Saccharomyces cerevisiae S288C: one gene and its partners. Changing the gene in region 3 together with the main gene of any one other region gives a genetic interaction. Each region holds a gene or a part of one and is shown on either strand. Other genes may lie near its edges. The genes, in order: TCP1, IES1, HDA1 and ARC18.

Region 1 (4,678 bases), on a different chromosome or scaffold from region 3:
CCTATCCAAAAACAAGAACTATTGAGCCTGCCGCATTTGTCTTAGACAAATCCACCAGTAGGTGTATTTATTACCAAGATTTACCATTACCAAGCTCTAGAGAGAAGACTTCCATTCAGATTGACCCAGAATTGTTGGATAATGTCGATGAATTTGTCATAAGGAATGACCTCATCGATTGTAGAATTGACATTTGTACATCTCATGTACCTTTGATATTTCAAGAAAATTTTGACTACCAATCATTAAGGACAGACTTTGTTAAAGGTGTCATTTCAAGCGATATATTGGGAAAGCATATATATGCCTATTTGACGGACGAATATGCTGTAAGAGTTGAAAGTTGGCAAACTTACGACACCATTTCTCAAGACTTTTTAGGTAGATGGTGTTATCCCTTGGTCTTAGACTCTAACATACAGGACGATCAAACGTATTCTTATGAATCAAGACATATATACAAGGAAAAAGACGTTGTTTTGGCCCAATCCTGTAAAATTGGTAAGTGCACTGCAATTGGATCAGGAACAAAAATCGGAGAGGGTACGAAAATTGAGAATTCCGTGATTGGAAGGAACTGCCAAATCGGTGAAAATATTAGAATCAAGAACAGTTTCATTTGGGATGACTGTATCATCGGAAATAACAGTATAATTGACCATTCATTAATTGCCTCTAATGCCACGTTAGGGAGTAATGTACGCCTAAATGATGGCTGTATAATTGGTTTCAACGTTAAAATTGATGATAATATGGATTTAGATAGAAACACAAAAATATCTGCCAGTCCATTAAAAAATGCCGGCTCAAGAATGTATGATAATGAAAGCAATGAGCAGTTTGACCAAGACCTTGATGATCAGACACTAGCCGTTTCTATTGTTGGAGATAAGGGTGTTGGTTATATTTACGAAAGCGAGGTGTCTGACGATGAAGATAGTTCTACAGAAGCCTGCAAAGAAATAAACACTTTGAGTAACCAATTAGATGAGTTATACTTAAGTGACGATTCAATTTCTTCCGCCACTAAAAAGACAAAGAAAAGAAGAACGATGTCTGTCAATAGTATATACACGGATAGAGAAGAAATTGATTCTGAATTTGAGGACGAAGATTTTGAGAAAGAAGGTATTGCCACCGTGGAGCGTGCTATGGAAAACAATCATGATCTTGACACAGCATTATTAGAATTGAACACCTTGAGAATGAGTATGAACGTGACATATCATGAGGTGAGAATAGCAACAATAACTGCATTATTGAGAAGAGTTTACCACTTTATTGCAACTCAAACATTAGGTCCCAAGGACGCTGTGGTGAAGGTTTTTAATCAGTGGGGACTGTTGTTCAAGAGACAAGCCTTTGATGAAGAAGAGTATATTGATTTGATGAACATCATAATGGAAAAAATTGTAGAACAGAGTTTTGACAAACCGGATTTGATTCTATTTAGTGCATTGGTTTCTCTATACGATAATGACATAATTGAGGAGGATGTCATTTATAAATGGTGGGATAATGTTTCTACTGACCCTCGCTATGATGAAGTCAAGAAATTAACTGTAAAGTGGGTTGAGTGGTTACAGAATGCTGACGAAGAATCTTCCTCAGAAGAGGAATAAAAGTCCACGCAGTACCCTGCATAATCATGTATTACCATAAAAAGGCTTTAATATGAGAAAAAGGTGAGCGCTATATAGATTTAGTAATTTACATGTTACAGAAGCAAAAAGCAAATATATATATATTTTTTATCATATTAGTTTTTATCCTCAGTAGTACTACTGAAATAATAATCTCAGATTTTTTTTTTTCACTTGCCGAGGGACCTTGTCCTAAGTGGCAAAGAACTGAAAAAAAAAAAAATTGAAATGCGGTGGTATCACATGAAGAGTAAATAACTTAAGCAAAAGAGAGGCCACTGAGAGAGTACAAGAAAGGGACAATAACAATAGACAGAAGACTTTTATATTTGTAATAACTTAGCGATGTCCCAATTATTCAATAACTCGCGCTCAGATACCCTTTTCCTAGGAGGTGAAAAAATAAGTGGTGATGATATTCGTAATCAGAATGTTTTGGCTACTATGGCTGTGGCTAACGTCGTCAAGTCATCTTTAGGCCCCGTTGGACTGGACAAAATGCTTGTTGATGACATTGGTGATTTTACCGTCACCAACGATGGTGCCACTATTTTGTCTTTGTTAGATGTTCAACATCCAGCTGGAAAAATTTTAGTAGAATTGGCTCAACAACAGGACAGAGAAATTGGTGACGGTACTACTAGTGTTGTTATTATTGCTTCTGAGTTGTTGAAAAGAGCTAATGAATTAGTCAAAAATAAGATTCATCCAACTACCATCATAACTGGTTTCAGGGTTGCATTAAGAGAGGCTATTCGTTTTATAAATGAAGTTCTTTCCACAAGTGTTGACACTTTAGGGAAAGAGACGTTAATTAATATAGCCAAGACTAGTATGTCCTCTAAGATCATTGGTGCTGACTCTGATTTTTTCAGCAATATGGTTGTAGATGCTCTTTTGGCTGTTAAGACGCAAAATTCCAAAGGAGAAATCAAGTATCCCGTAAAGGCTGTCAATGTGTTGAAAGCTCATGGTAAATCTGCCACTGAATCACTGTTGGTGCCAGGTTATGCTTTGAATTGTACAGTTGCTTCTCAAGCAATGCCTAAACGTATCGCCGGTGGCAATGTGAAAATCGCATGTTTGGATTTGAACTTGCAGAAAGCTCGTATGGCAATGGGTGTTCAAATCAACATTGATGATCCGGAACAATTGGAGCAAATCCGTAAACGTGAAGCTGGTATTGTTTTGGAAAGAGTGAAGAAGATCATTGATGCTGGTGCTCAAGTTGTGTTAACCACCAAAGGTATTGATGATTTATGCTTAAAGGAGTTCGTTGAAGCTAAGATAATGGGTGTAAGACGCTGTAAGAAGGAAGATTTGAGAAGAATTGCACGCGCTACAGGCGCCACTTTGGTTAGTTCTATGTCTAACTTAGAAGGTGAGGAAACTTTCGAAAGCAGTTATTTAGGTCTTTGTGATGAAGTAGTTCAAGCCAAATTTTCTGATGATGAGTGTATCTTAATTAAGGGTACTTCTAAACATTCATCTTCTTCGATCATTTTAAGAGGTGCCAACGATTATTCTTTAGATGAGATGGAACGTTCTTTGCACGATTCTCTTTCTGTTGTCAAAAGAACGCTTGAAAGTGGAAATGTTGTCCCCGGTGGAGGTTGCGTTGAAGCCGCATTGAATATCTATTTGGACAATTTTGCCACCACAGTTGGTTCTCGTGAACAGTTAGCTATTGCTGAGTTTGCAGCTGCATTATTAATCATTCCAAAAACTTTAGCTGTTAACGCTGCCAAGGATTCTAGTGAATTAGTTGCAAAATTAAGGTCCTACCATGCCGCTAGTCAAATGGCCAAGCCAGAGGACGTTAAGAGGAGAAGCTACAGAAATTACGGCCTAGATTTGATTAGAGGTAAAATTGTGGACGAGATTCACGCTGGTGTTCTTGAGCCAACCATAAGCAAAGTCAAATCCTTGAAATCAGCATTGGAGGCTTGTGTAGCAATTCTAAGAATTGATACAATGATTACAGTGGATCCAGAACCACCCAAAGAAGATCCGCACGATCATTGATTCTTTGCGTAATCCGAACGAGATTCTGTATCTGCATGTAAACTAATAAACCTATATAAAATTTAATTATATTTTTTTCAGCTAGTTCTATTTTTGAATTTGATCGCTAACTCTGGGCAGTTGATAAGCGCTTCCCAGCTTTTCACGTGCGAGGTGGACTAATACGTAATAACGCGTACCTATTAGGACTTCGTTGAGTTGTTTTTCTTGTCCAAATGCAGAAGCGGGTCCCTACAAACTATTGTGTTTGTTCGTAAACGAGCAGGAACCCTGTTAAAGGAAAAAAGCTTAACGCTAGCGTTACATTTTAGTAAGGCGGCAATAAAAAAGAATGCGGAGTGTATTCCATGAATTCAATTGCGCTTACTGCTAAGCCTGTTTCTAAACATGATCCCCAGGGTGAATATCTCCCATAGTGGCTGTGTTATTCTGTCTAAATGTGGCAGCTAAATAAGGTTTTTTCCAAGCTATTTTTTTCTCTAAACGAGCGCACCTTAGCGGGATCGCGTCAAATTTTCGCCCAACGAATATTATTCTATTGTCTTCAGTGAATGTGCTTGTCGAAATCTATATATGCGCCGCCCTGGCAGGATCAGCAAATACAAGTTACTTGGAAAGTCGCGGCATAGAAAGTAGACACTTCTTTTGTCAAAGATTGATATTGCTTTCAGGGTGCGATAGTGCTGACTGTTCCTCTAAACAGCGATTTTTTACATACATTAACTTTTTGAAGTTGTAGGAACTATCTTTTCTCATTTATCCAACACTAAAACAAAATTGAGCTTTCCAGAAATAGTGAATCAAAAAAAGTTAAGTACAAATATTTACAGTTCAGCAGTATGAGCGAAGTCGGTATACAGAATCACAAGAAAGCGGTGACAAAACCCAGAAGAAGAGAAAAAGTCATCGAGCTAATTGAAGTGGACGGCAAAAAGGTGAGTACGACTTCAACCGGTAAACGTAAATTCCATAACAAATCAAAGAATGGGTGCGATAACTGTAAAAGAAGA
Region 2 (5,367 bases), on a different chromosome or scaffold from region 3:
CGGGCCCTTGGCTCTTGGGACAAGGACTAGAAGCCAAAAGCCAGAGGCGGTAAAAATAGCAAGACTAGAATATTGCTGGCATCTGTTAAGGGGATATGTTGCAACTTGCAGGGGGCGGCACAAAATAACATAGAAACGTAGTAAAGAGGGGAAAAGGAAAAGGAAAAGGAAAAGGAAGGAAAAAAACCCATTGACGTAGAAATTGAAAGAAGGAAAGGTATACGCAAGCATTAATACAACCCACAAACACAGACCAGAAGCACTCTAGACGGAGAGTAACTAGATCTACAGCCCCTGGAAAATCGTTTGGTCAACTTTGAGGTTCCGGTCGTCCCCCTCTTGATCTGAAAGGTCTTTCTCTAAATCTATATTAAAACGTATAAATAGGACGGTGAATTGCGTTCTACTTCCTCAATTGCGTTTGATCTTATTTAATCTCTCTCTAATATATAGAAAAAAAAACCATCTGATTATTCGATAATCTCAAACAAACAACTCAAAACAAAAAAAACTAAATACAACAATGTCTGACGCAGGTAGAAAAGGATTCGGTGAAAAAGCTTCTGAAGCTTTGAAGCCAGACTCTCAAAAGTCATACGCTGAACAAGGTAAGGAATACATCACTGACAAGGCCGACAAGGTCGCTGGTAAGGTTCAACCAGAAGACAACAAGGGTGTCTTCCAAGGTGTCCACGACTCTGCCGAAAAAGGCAAGGATAACGCTGAAGGTCAAGGTGAATCTTTGGCAGACCAAGCTAGAGATTACATGGGAGCCGCCAAGTCCAAGTTGAACGATGCCGTCGAATATGTTTCCGGTCGTGTCCACGGTGAAGAAGACCCAACCAAGAAGTAAATCTTTCGGAACTCTTTGTAGTTACATGGTTTTTTCTTTATGATGTGTGATGTTCCTTAATATTATATTCAATGAATAGCAGAGTAATAAAAAAATTCTAAAAAAAAAACGCTTAAATCGAGGTGGAATATATAAACTTAAGTACGCATATACTCTAGTTCAGTTTAAAAATTAGCTGTTTTTTTAAAAAAAAAAATTCTCTTTCTTTACAAAATGTTCTTAAATGTATGTATGTGTGTGTGTGTGTGTGTGCGTATTGTTCTATTTCACTCCAGCTTAAACATGGCGGTTGCTTCTTCGTCATCAATTTCCGCGCGTTCGATTTTATTTAAAAGTACTTTCTTTGAAGCGCCGAGATTTTTCATGAAATCCGTCTCAAATCCAAGCAAATTATCTTTGAATTTCTTTCTCTTTTTACCGCGAATCCCAAGCACTGACGCTACGGGGATGTCTTCAAATTCATTGAATATCTTGATTAACCCAATATCGCGTCTTTTCAACCTGTTTGGCACCTGGGATTTTTTCAAATCGGCGAGAAACTCCTCTTGTGTCTTACCATTTTCTGACACATGCTTGTTCAGATCTAGCGATATTAGCTTGTCGACCTTGTTTACCGTAGCCGAACTATTGTATTTTTTCAATGGTGTTAGATTTAAATCGTTTTTGTCAATGATAGCAGCGGAGGTGATTTCTTCTTCTGTTTCTGTTGGTGCTGCTGGCGTTACTTTGGGCAGTTGTGGTGTGACTTTTTTCCTGTTCAATGTCATGGGTGAAGAAGATTCCAGTATGGGCGTAGGCGTCAAAAGTGATCTAGTCTCCTCTACAGTCTCCTCGCTCTTGTCATCTTCCCCTTCACCGTCCTCTTCACTCTTGTCACCACCGATACTGGGCTTTTTCACCTCTGTAACATTGGTACGCTCGCGCTTCCTACCCTCCTCCATCTTACTCATGAATTCTCTTCTCTTGATGCGTTGGTTGGCTCCGAACTCTAATTCATCTTCAGGATCCGTGTCGTAACTGCGTTCCGTACACCTTAAAATGAACTTTCCAGCAGGTGCACCATCTTCCAATCCATTGAAAAATCTTACTGATTCTTCGACCTCCTCCTGGCTTAAGTTTGTCTCCAAATGAATATATAGCAGCCAAATCAATATGTTTGATCTATCCTTTGGCTCGTATTTCGAATAGTCCAGTATATCAAATAATGTTGTTGCATAAGCTGCTTTTGATTCTTGTTTTTCATTTTCCGCTTCCGTTTCTTTTACTTCATTCTGTTCATCTACCATATCTTGCTCCTGAGCTTTCGATTCGACTTCCACATACTTGGAAAGAAACCTCTTGTCAATTAGGCCGGAATTATCACATATGCTAAACAACATATTAATAATGTTAAATTTGTTAACGGTGTCCACTTCACCATCATTTTGGTCGACCTTTTTGTAAGTCTCCATCAATGAGAGTTGCTCATTGCCCCACGGCAGATTTTTCAGAATAGATTTCAGTCTAGGTGTATCCTGCAAAAGTTTCGGATCATTGGCATGTAATTGTAAAACTGGCACGGAGTGAAAAGTTCTCAATTGCGATGTCATTTCTAAATAAAAATTTATAGTGGTGTTCAACCTACCAATGTTGACCAATAACGCTAAAACACAAGTAGAAAATGCTACTTGTTGGTCTAATAATAGTTTATCTCTGAGAATTTTGGAACATTTGATAGAAGTGGCTATTGTCAACACATACAATTGTGCGAACGTCAATTTATCGTTAAATACAAATGTCCTTGCATCGTACTCTTTGTCGGTCACGTTGATTGATAATTTATCGCCATCGATATTAATGGGTACAATAGAGTTCTTGTATAGGGGTTTTAGAACATTAGTGAAGATTTGCCTCTTGTCCATCAACAGTTCTTGCATGAAACTGAACTGAATGTCCTTTCTATTGAATGGCTCGCCGTCAGGTTTCTTCAAATGACGATTGTATTTACTGGCATTGCTTTCTTTGGGTTTCCTTCTAACAGTGTTAGTTGTCACTGGCCCCGTTGCCGTACTTGCTCCTGTTGCTTCAGGCACTGTAGAAGGTTCGAAGTTGAGCAAGATGTTGGTATTTTCTTCTTCACTTTGCGTGGAGTCATCATCATTTTTATCGTCGATTTCAATCTCGTGTATAACTGGAATGCTTTTTGTAGTCACAGTCTCGGTCTCTGATTGAATGGAGCTTGGGGATGCTTCTTCTTGTGATCCCGATTTTACAGATTGCATTGGAGAATCTGCTTTTGTTTCGTCAGAATTGTCTTCTCGTAGTTGGAAAGTATCATGAATTGGATCGTATACTCTCTTCCCCATCTTTAATTAGAGTGTCGCCTTTATTTAGCTTTCGATTTTACTTAGTTAATCATGAACTGTTTCCAATACCATATCAGCATTCATTGGGCGTTCTTTACTTACTTGTACCGTTACCGCATTCGAGGGTAACCTGTTTTTCGTTGTACACGATATGCTACAGAATTGTCTTAATATGGGCTAAGAAAAAAAAAAGTCTGATTATTTCTGATACTGCAAAATATATACTGGCTTGGTTAAGAAAAGTGTTGCTTTAGTTCCTTTACATCAAGAGTCGTTAAATTGTTTTGTGTCATAACAGTAGTGGTCTTTTGAGACATCAATCGACTCTCAGGTTTTCCTTCTGTTCATCTTCTTGTTTTCGGTAAAGGTCAGCCAGCATATTTCAATTCTCTCTTTTTTGAAATAACATTATGTAATCTTTCAATCCTTTCTATCCAACGTCTGCTAAATAATTTATTCAAATGACATGTAGACCAGAAAATCGAACGTTGGATAATTTTTCATCCTGAATCATGTTGGTCTCAACTAGAGCAATTTTTTCACGTCCTCTGACACAAAACTCGATAAACTGTCGCATCAGTTTAAAAAAATATGTACGTGTATAATAACTGAATTTAAAAGGATAGTAAATAATTTTTGCATTTTATGGAATGTCAAAATACTAATAAGTCGCAAATATAGCTATCAAATACCATAATTTAGCTACTTATAGAAAGATGCCCAAATCCCGACCAAAAAGGACCATTGCGTCTTCCTCGTCAGTTTTTTATGGAAGTTCACCTTTCCAAAATGATGGCTACATCAAAGTAATGGAACTCGTATCACACATTGTCATTGAAATAAATCATTCACCTACCGCAACAACGGATGAAACGAGAAAGCAGAATAATCCGGAGCTGAAAGTGAAAGAACCAGTTTGTAACCTCAAGAAGTGGGAAAATAACACTAACTTTATATTGGAAGATCATACGAAGAATAAAACAAAACTTTCTAGCACAGATAGGATACGTAAGTGGTTTAGAAGACATATATTAAAGGAAGAGATCGAAATCCTTTCCCATGGAAAACAATTGAGTAGTATTGATGAGGATTATTGCCCTTCAAATGTTCTTGTAGGATGTTCAAGAGATCTAAATAAACTCAGATCATTTCAAAATTTTTAGGAATATAAAATTTCTCAGTAAGAAAAAGAAGATGAATGCGTTTATAGTATTTTAAGTTGTTCAATAGAATATCTTCAATATGTTCATATGTGGACTAAAAGAAGATTTTGGTATATGTCTATAAATTTATTGTTGGTAAACGCCATTAAGCAGCTTTCCAAGAATATGTTATCATTGAGGAGAAGTACGAAAACTGATTATGCACGATTAGGAAAAATTCTGCAAGGAGTATTAAAAAATGGCCTTCGAGAAGAAATGAAATCTCTTTCGATGAGCAATGGTCTTATGGATAATTTGATAGACATATGAAAAAGTCAAAAGTTTTTTTGGCCATATGCAGTAAAAACTTACCCTTCAAATTGCAAAACCATTAGTTTTATTATATTTTTTTTTTTTTCTTTCATTGAAGTATACACGAAATCCCATACGCAAATAAACAGTCGTTGTATCATCAATTTCGGCTGTCTGGATGGCGACTACGAGAGGAAGCTTGCTTGCCATGATAGGACCAATCTCAATTTTTAATTTTTCATTAACTAGCTAATTTTCTATAATGCTCTAAGTTTCCTTTTTCGTTTTGTTTCTTTATAGTGATGATGCTGTTATTGTGACGCTATCAAATCATATACTGTCATCAATCCTCATCTCATCGGCTCCGGAACGCGTTGAATATGTTGTTAAACAAGCTCTTTATAGCTAGCTATAGTAGAAAAGGAAGGAAAGAAGTCTAATCGCTGTATTATCGACTGACAAGGGTTGTCAGTTGCCTTCTTTTATTTTTTGTACTCCCCTGAATCGAGCGGATGTATTTTTTAACAAAGTATTCAGAATTGTTTTTGTATAATCAAAATTTGTCGACGCTAAGAAAATGACGGACGTCGTAATTCCGCTACTAGGTTTTGTGTGCTCATCGATATTTGACACCTATTTTCGACACTTTTAAGGTTATATACTTTGTTTCGGATGTGGGGTACACTCAGTTGACTGATTATGAAAGATATGGCGT
Region 3 (5,148 bases):
CCGTAATCAAACACTCTATAACATCTCTTGCAAGCAAACATTTGGCACGTATAATCCATCTCTACTGTACAAATCATACAAACATATGAGTCACCGCTAGAAATTTCCTGGATCGCACGTTCGTAATATTGCATATCATCATCACTTTCCTCTTCATACGAACTAGGCTGCTCGTTGGCGTCTTCAACACTCGAAATACACCCATCGCTTAGGTTGTGATGTCTATAAGTGTCACCGCCGTCTTGATTTTGCTCCAGGCCTAAAGACTCATGTTCGGTCATTTGTAATGCCTACGACTGCAAATAGATTAGAGCAGTCTCGTCTCACGCTGTTTCACTTGGTTGTTGCCACTGTCGCAAGAAAGAACTTTTATATTTACGACCTTTTCACAGAGCTCATCGATAATTTTTATAATAGTATATTACCCGAAAATCTTCCTTTATGTGCGGGATGTATAGATTATTGAAATGTCTTTTCCGTAGTACTACAGCAAAAATGCAATAATACATATCAGATATACACATATATACATGAATGTTCTGAAAGTTTAATCTCTTTCAAAACAGACAGCAAAGAAACCAATACCACCGTCACTTTTTGGTAGTGCCCTGATACAACCCTCGGCAAGCTGTTGAGGGTCATAGGTGACTCCATCTCTAAAAACCTCTTCGAACTCTTCTACCTTGCCTCTTCTAGGCCAAGAAGGAATAACTTCTCTTTTTGGCGCTACTTTCCAACCCCATTCTCTAACTGACTTATCTAAAAGAAGGTCTATGACGACTCGTTCATTTTCTTCCGCATGAATGGAACATGTGCTGTATACTATTTTTTTAGCCGCTGGGAAACTCATTGCATGCTTTACCATCTGGAACTGAAATGAACTCAGCTTCGCTAACCTTGTCTGTAGTTCTTCCTTTGCTATAAACTCCTCTTGCTCATCCGGCACAATGCCACCATCGTCATCTTTATCATCAATTTTCCTTCTATTAAATGAGTCAAAAAACTTACGACCAAATATACCGCTACCGGAGCAGCTCGGATCTACAATAAAACAAGTAACGTCCTTATATTTTTCAGGAGTAGCGAGCTTTGTAAAATCACCTACATTGACACTGATGTTGGGAGAACAGCCAGCTATCTTGATCATTTTTTGTAAAACTTTTGCTCTTTCAGGATCCTTCTCGAAAGCGTATATTCGAGTATTATTGTCCTTCGGTGGTTCGGGATATATATAAGAGGCCGTATGGGTAGTCTTATTACCTGGAGCAGAGCAGGAATCTATCACAATATCACTTGGTCCTGGATTCAAAATGTGGGCTGGAAAACAAGAAGCACGATCTTGAATGATAATCTTCCCATGCTTATAAAGCTCATGTGCTGTAATTTTGTCAGACGGATGAATTCCAAACAAGTTTGGAATAAACTCATCATAATAGATAGACCCAGGAACTAGTTCAGACCATTTGTCTACCTTTAAAGTAAACTTCTTCCTCAATTCGGCTAACACCGGCTCAGTCTCACCATTTGGATGGCATTTTAATGGATTGATTCTAATCCATCTAACAGGAGGAAGGTCATTGGAAATATCCTCGCTTAATACCAACTCAGATAGCTCTCTTACTTTCAATTTGAGTTTCAATTTGACCATTTCGCTATGCAATGGGCTCTTAAACTTCAAAACATAATCTTTGATGGGGTGTTTGCCCATTTGAATTCTTTTCTGCTTAGACAACAGCAAATCATGGCAAAGCAATAACAAAGTTAGCCTTGAAAAGAGTGGTTTGCCCTTTTTCTTGGGTATATCTTCCAATATGTGTGCCTTTTTCATCACTTTCTCCAAATATGGTTTATATTTCCAACACGAATCGAGAACTGCATAAATATGTTTTGGATTACTTTTCAGCTTATATCTTTTACAGCTTTTCAGTACCAGCGTCTGCATAGAGCCGGAAATCCTTTCTTTTGCAGCCTCCTTCTCAATATCTTCTAGCACCCATGTTGCATCCCTGTAGAAATTCATGCTTTTTCGTAGCTAACTTCTCAGTGAAACACTTGGTGAAGAACCAGCTCTTCTCTTAACCTCATCGAATATTTTAGGCCAGTTTTTTTTTTCCTCACTTGCCATTTTCCCGCACCGTTTGGAAATCTCGAGGAAAATGCTTCTTTCCAAAAGTTTAATCAGGTCACTAATTAGGTAAATAGAGCTGGGAGGAAGCATATACAGTGTTTCGTCTGTGGAAGGAACTTTTATTTTTCTTAAATGTTTTAATTTTTAGTGACCTAATTCACATAACAAAATATTGAGAAAGGGAAAGTTGAGCACTGTAATACGCCGAACAGATTAAGCATGGATTCTGTAATGGTTAAGAAAGAAGTACTGGAAAATCCAGACCATGATTTAAAAAGAAAGCTAGAAGAGAACAAAGAAGAAGAGAATAGCCTCTCTACTACTTCTAAAAGTAAAAGGCAGGTTATTGTTCCCGTTTGCATGCCAAAAATCCATTATTCACCGCTGAAAACTGGTCTTTGCTATGACGTTAGAATGAGGTATCATGCAAAGATTTTCACATCGTACTTCGAGTACATTGATCCACATCCAGAGGACCCAAGAAGAATATATCGTATTTATAAAATACTAGCAGAGAATGGTCTGATTAACGACCCCACTTTAAGCGGCGTGGATGACCTTGGTGATTTAATGCTGAAGATACCTGTAAGAGCCGCAACCTCCGAAGAAATCTTGGAAGTTCATACAAAGGAACATTTAGAGTTTATTGAAAGCACAGAAAAAATGAGCCGAGAAGAGTTATTAAAAGAGACTGAAAAAGGTGATTCCGTATATTTCAATAATGATTCTTACGCGAGTGCTAGGCTGCCTTGTGGTGGCGCCATTGAAGCATGCAAGGCGGTTGTCGAGGGGCGTGTAAAAAACTCTCTAGCTGTCGTAAGACCACCTGGCCATCATGCAGAGCCTCAAGCTGCGGGTGGTTTTTGTCTCTTCAGTAATGTTGCTGTTGCTGCCAAGAATATCTTAAAGAACTACCCAGAAAGTGTAAGAAGGATAATGATTTTAGATTGGGATATTCATCATGGTAATGGCACACAAAAGTCATTCTATCAAGACGATCAGGTGCTATATGTGTCATTACACAGATTTGAAATGGGTAAATACTATCCTGGGACCATCCAAGGACAATATGATCAAACTGGTGAGGGTAAGGGTGAAGGATTCAATTGTAATATTACTTGGCCGGTCGGCGGTGTTGGTGATGCAGAATATATGTGGGCATTTGAACAGGTAGTTATGCCTATGGGGAGAGAATTCAAGCCTGACTTGGTGATTATTTCTTCAGGGTTTGATGCCGCGGATGGTGATACTATCGGACAATGTCATGTCACCCCAAGTTGTTATGGACACATGACACATATGTTAAAATCTCTAGCTAGAGGTAATCTTTGTGTAGTTTTGGAAGGTGGATATAACTTGGATGCGATTGCAAGAAGCGCTTTGAGTGTAGCAAAAGTACTAATAGGGGAGCCTCCTGATGAACTACCTGATCCATTAAGTGATCCCAAGCCTGAGGTCATAGAAATGATAGACAAAGTAATTCGGTTACAGTCCAAGTATTGGAACTGTTTTAGAAGGAGACATGCTAACTCCGGTTGTAATTTTAACGAACCTATTAACGACTCGATAATATCTAAAAATTTTCCTCTGCAGAAGGCTATTCGTCAACAACAGCAACACTATTTAAGCGACGAATTTAATTTCGTTACTTTACCGTTAGTAAGCATGGATTTACCAGATAATACAGTGCTATGTACTCCAAACATTTCCGAATCTAACACTATAATTATAGTCGTTCATGATACTTCTGATATCTGGGCAAAGAGAAATGTTATTTCAGGTACAATTGACTTATCCTCATCAGTTATCATTGATAATTCTCTAGACTTTATCAAATGGGGACTTGACAGGAAATACGGCATCATTGATGTAAATATACCTCTAACTCTGTTTGAACCTGACAATTACTCAGGAATGATTACATCCCAAGAAGTTCTAATATATTTATGGGATAACTACATCAAGTATTTTCCTTCTGTTGCCAAAATTGCTTTTATTGGAATAGGAGACTCATACTCAGGTATCGTACATCTGCTTGGTCACAGGGATACTAGGGCTGTTACTAAAACGGTAATTAATTTCTTGGGAGACAAGCAGTTAAAGCCACTAGTTCCTCTAGTAGATGAAACATTGAGTGAATGGTACTTCAAAAACTCACTTATATTTTCAAACAATAGCCACCAATGCTGGAAAGAAAATGAAAGCAGAAAACCAAGAAAAAAATTCGGTAGAGTTTTGAGATGTGATACGGACGGGTTAAACAATATAATTGAAGAAAGATTTGAAGAGGCTACAGACTTTATACTGGATTCGTTTGAAGAATGGAGTGATGAAGAATGAGGAAAAACTGGCCATTAATAATTTTTTTTCGGCAACCTTCATGCCTTATGAAAGTTGAATAATAATAAAGTTGTTACAATGTTCATTGTATAATCCAATATATCTAAAATAGGAAAAAGAAATGAACAAATGCATTAAGCTGTGTTTTACTAAGTATTATGGGAAAACGTATACATTAAAGTGGATGCTTACATATATAACACATTGTAATAAAGGTTCTTTGAACATGTTACCAGCCTCTTCAGAGATCGATCCGGTTCTGTTGAGCCAAATACTCACTTATCCAAGGATAACTTTCGTCCCGCGAGGAGCAGTGGTTTTGGAGGAGGTTTAGGCTTTAAATGTGAAGGCTTAGGTGGTGGGGTAGGTTTTGTTTTTTTGTCTTTTGAAATCGGGCCACTTGATTTCAGCATTGTTGGCTTATCTATCTCCCCTTTCTCATGCAGCTTGACCTTGGACATTTTCCTAGCGTTGAATGACTCCTCAGAAGAGTTGAGTTTATCGATCATACGCTGTTGAATGGAGTTCTTCAAATTCTGCTTAGATACGTCCAAATCTTCATAAGATGGTTTGTTAAGATCGTCTTTGGAATTATCAATCGTATTAACGAATGTCGACTTAAAAGGTGAATTTTCGTGTTTCAAATTTACCTTTGTAGACGTTGGGGTGAAGCTAGTGCC
Region 4 (3,852 bases), on a different chromosome or scaffold from region 3:
ATGCAAATAGGGCACAAGATAACTTGATCAGGCAAAGGTTAGAGCTTATCTCTAAGGCTGACATTATGATAAGTGATACTGAGAATTTATTTAAAAGATATGAAAAACTGATTTCTAGCGAAAAAGAGTATTCTAATATCGTAGAGGACATCAAAGCTCTGAGACAAGCTATAAAGAATTTTAAGGCTAACGAAAATGACATGTCAATTGATGTAAACGGAATAAAAAAAGCTACGGATGCGCTACAGGGTAGGGCATTAAAATTATTCCAAAGCGCAACAAAAAACCAGCAGAATCAAGGTAAATAAGTGAACAAAACACAAATAAGACTTGTATATTAACGTGTATATCGTTCATTAAAGCATATTTTGACGTATTTATACTTTATACATTTATATATTTCTTTCCCGTTTCAAATTTTCGGTTCAAATAAAGTTGCATGTGGATTATTATGTTCCCATAAATTCTAGTTTTTATTATTTTCCTTGCACCGTATACCTTTATAGAGATTTGTTCATGAATCTTCTTCTTGTGAACGCCAACCAAAACTTTGAGGGATATTCCTTAGAATCTGTAGAGCTATAGACTCTTTCTAATAGTCTCATTGCCAATTCTTGACGGAATTGCTGAATATAAGTCTTCAACAAGTCCATCGAATTATGATCTTGTACTGGAACTTGGTAAACATTATTCAGAGGGAAACCCGGTGTACCTGGTAAAGTAAAGTTGTCCAAGGCCACATTGGTTAACACTTTGACGGCTTCGTTAAATGACGTTGTTATTTTCAAATGGGCTAGGCAATCATTGATAAAGAGAATTCCGTAGATGAGCACTCTGTCGGCGGGTGATTTAATTTCAAAATTCTTGAAGAAGGAATTGGCACGAAATAGGTCCAAGCACTCGTCGATAATATCGTAATCGGAATTGCTGGGGTATGCAGGACCCCTGAACTTAGTGTTCAAGGGCAGAAGCGCAAAGTTCCCTACCATGCGGTCAGTGTTAGGATCTACAGGGAAAGTCGAGTGATACGCAGGCATTTATTAATATACTGGGAGTGGAGAGACTGATAATACCAATAATCTTCCTTTATTGATGTTTGTTACTGCGCACCAAGTGTTTAATTTATTGTTATTCATTGTTATACTAAACCAAACCGCAACGGAAAGGATAGGGGTTCGTGGTGGATGATCCGCGTAACGGCCGAGTCTGTGAAACTGAGAGAGAATGATAGTGAAAACAATGGTATGGAAGTCCGAGGTCCTAAGGCTTGAAGAAAGTTTTTAAAGGGCATTATGACCAGTGAGTACTGACGACCTAATTTAATAACAGTATTGAGCCGATTAGGTTTTCCTGGATTTTTTTTTTGCTGTTTTATAGCTATTTTTTTATTTGTTGTTTGTGGTCATTAATATATTCATTCGCTCTGTTAGTGTAATCGATTACAGTGCTCTATTACTGCTGACTTAATTGGACAATTCATCTCTTTTCCTGCGGTTATGAGCGAAACCAACGTTGACAGCTTAGGGGACAGAAATGACATATACTCCCAAATATTTGGTGTAGAAAGGAGGCCAGATTCCTTCGCTACTTTTGATAGTGACTCGCACGGAGACATAAGTTCTCAGCTGCTGCCTAATAGAATCGAAAATATCCAGAATCTAAATGTTCTGCTTTCTGAAGACATTGCTAATGACATCATTATTGCCAAGCAGAGGAGACGTTCTGGAGTTGAAGCCGCCATCGATGATTCTGATATACCAAATAACGAAATGAAGGGGAAAAGCTCAAATTACATTTTATCGCAGCAGACTAATATTAAGGAAGTTCCAGATACACAAAGTTTGTCTAGTGCTGATAATACACCTGTGAGCAGTCCAAAGAAGGCAAGAGATGCCACATCTTCCCATCCCATTGTTCATGCTAAATCGATGTCCCATATATATTCAACGAGTAATAGTGCTAGTAGACAAGCCAAGCACTATAATGACCACCCTTTGCCTCCAATGTCTCCAAGAAATGAAGTTTACCAGAAGAATAAAAGTACTACAGCTTTTGTGCCTAAGAGGAAACCTTCGCTCCCGCAACTAGCACTTGCTGGTCTTAAGAAGCAGAGCAGTTTTTCCACCGGCAGTGCATCAACCACTCCTACACAGGCTAGAAAATCGCCTTTGCAAGGGTTTGGTTTCTTTTCGAGACCAAGTTCCAAAGACTTGCACGAACAGCACCAACATCACCAGCATATTCAGCATAATAATATTAACAATCATAATAATAATAATACTAATAATAATGGCGCACATTATCAAGTGGGTAGTAGTAACAGTAATTACCCTCAACATTCACATTCTATATCATCTAGATCGATGTCGTTGAACTCATCTACTCTAAAAAATATTGCATCATCTTTTCAATCGAAGACTTCTAACAGCAGGAAAGCTACGCAAAAATATGATATAACTTCCAACCCATTCTCAGATCCTCATCATCATCATCATCATCATCACTCTTCAAACAGTCACAGTAGCCTAAATAATGTCCACGGGTCTGGAAACTCCTCAAGTGTTATGGGAAGCTCGTCTAATATTGGGTTGGGTCTTAAAACGAGAGTTTCTTCCACCTCATTAGCTTTAAAAAGATACACTTCGGTTTCAGGAACTTCTCTATCTTCTCCACGTAGAAGTAGTATGACACCTTTGTCGGCATCTAGACCTGTTATGAGCGCTTCATCAAAAAAACCTCAGGTATATCCAGCTTTGTTGTCAAGAGTCGCCACAAAATTTAAAAGTTCGATACAACTCGGGGAACATAAGAAGGATGGATTAGTTTACCGTGACGCATTTACAGGGCAGCAGGCAGTCGATGTCATCTGTGCTATCATTAGAACTTCTGATAGAAACTTAGCCTTGTTATTTGGTAGATCACTAGATGCACAAAAGCTGTTCCATGATGTGGTATACGAGCACAGGTTAAGAGATTCACCACATGAAGTTTACGAATTTACAGATAACTCAAGATTTACAGGAACAGGTTCCACAAACGCCCATGATCCACTGATGCTACTCCCAAACTCATCATCTTTTAATTCCGGGAACCACTCTTATCCGAATTCCGGAATGGTTCCATCAAGTTCAACTTCATCTTTGAATAGTGATCAGGCAACTTTGACAGGGTCGAGGCTACATATGAGTAGTTCATTGTCCCAGCAAAAGAACCCTGCAGCCATTCATAACGTCAATGGTGTGTTTACATTACTGGCGGAATGCTATTCCCCTACGTGCACAAGAGACGCTTTGTGTTACTCTATTTCGTGTCCAAGACGTCTTGAGCAACAAGCAAGGTTAAATCTGAAACCAAATGGCGGCCTGAAACGTAATATATCAATGGCATTGGATGATGATGACGAAGAAAAGCCATCTTGGACAAGTTCCGTATCTAAAGAGGATTGGGAAAACTTACCAAAAAAGGAAATAAAAAGACAAGAGGCTATTTATGAAGTTTATATCACGGAGAAGAACTTTGTAAAATCATTAGAAATTACAAGAGACACATTCATGAAGACTTTGGCTGAAACAAATATTATTTCAGCAGATATTAGAAAAAATTTCATCAAGCATGTTTTTGCACATATAAACGATATCTATTCAGTGAATAGACGTTTTTTGAAGGCTTTAACTGATAGGCAAAGAAGTTCACCAGTTGTGAGAGGAATTGGGGACATTGTTTTAAGATTCATTCCATTTTTTGAACCATTTGTTTCATATGTCGCTTCAAGACCATATGCGAAGTACTTGATTGAAACCCAAAGATCAGTCAATCCCTATTTTGCTAGATTTGATGACGATATGATGAGCT

What was found.
Region 1: mutations in HDA1 (region 3) and TCP1 together harm fitness more than expected from each alone (negative genetic interaction), as found in Saccharomyces cerevisiae (3 studies listed by BioGRID, with this or other methods).
Region 2: mutations in HDA1 (region 3) and IES1 together harm fitness more than expected from each alone (negative genetic interaction), as found in Saccharomyces cerevisiae (3 studies listed by BioGRID).
Region 4: mutations in HDA1 (region 3) and ARC18 together harm fitness more than expected from each alone (negative genetic interaction), as found in Saccharomyces cerevisiae (3 studies listed by BioGRID, with this or other methods).

Annotation. Positions count from the first base shown.
Region 1 is NC_001136.10:885,244-889,921, forward strand, and holds TCP1 (chaperonin-containing T-complex alpha subunit TCP1), read left to right. Parts: upstream 1-1,988; coding exon 1,989-3,668; downstream 3,669-4,678. Other genes in the region: GCD6 (translation initiation factor eIF2B catalytic subunit epsilon), read left to right, coding at 1-1,622; UPC2 (Upc2p), read left to right, coding at 4,508-4,678. UniProt on the Saccharomyces cerevisiae protein: Molecular chaperone; assists the folding of proteins upon ATP hydrolysis. Known to play a role, in vitro, in the folding of actin and tubulin. In yeast may play a role in mitotic spindle formation.
Region 2 is NC_001138.5:106,733-112,099, forward strand, and holds IES1 (Ies1p), read right to left. Parts: upstream 3,199-5,367; coding exon 1,120-3,198; downstream 1-1,119. Other genes in the region: YFL015C (uncharacterized protein), read right to left, coding at 1-231; lipid-binding protein HSP12, read left to right, coding at 524-853; YFL012W (uncharacterized protein), read left to right, coding at 3,915-4,361. UniProt on the Saccharomyces cerevisiae protein: Probably involved in transcription regulation via its interaction with the INO80 complex, a chromatin-remodeling complex.
Region 3 is NC_001146.8:590,880-596,027, forward strand, and holds HDA1 (histone deacetylase HDA1), read left to right. Parts: upstream 1-2,347; coding exon 2,348-4,468; downstream 4,469-5,148. Other genes in the region: FAP1 (Fap1p), read right to left, coding at 1-281; rRNA (cytosine-C5-)-methyltransferase RCM1, read right to left, coding at 548-2,020; serine/threonine protein kinase ARK1, read right to left, coding at 4,744-5,148. UniProt on the Saccharomyces cerevisiae protein: Responsible for the deacetylation of lysine residues on the N-terminal part of the core histones (H2A, H2B, H3 and H4).
Region 4 is NC_001144.5:861,218-865,069, forward strand, and holds ARC18 (Arc18p), read right to left. Parts: upstream 1,038-3,852; coding exon 501-1,037; downstream 1-500. Other genes in the region: Hsp70 family ATPase SSQ1, read left to right, coding at 1-308; Rho family guanine nucleotide exchange factor ROM2, read left to right, coding at 1,497-3,852. UniProt on the Saccharomyces cerevisiae protein: Functions as a component of the Arp2/3 complex which is involved in regulation of actin polymerization and together with an activating nucleation-promoting factor (NPF) mediates the formation of branched actin networks.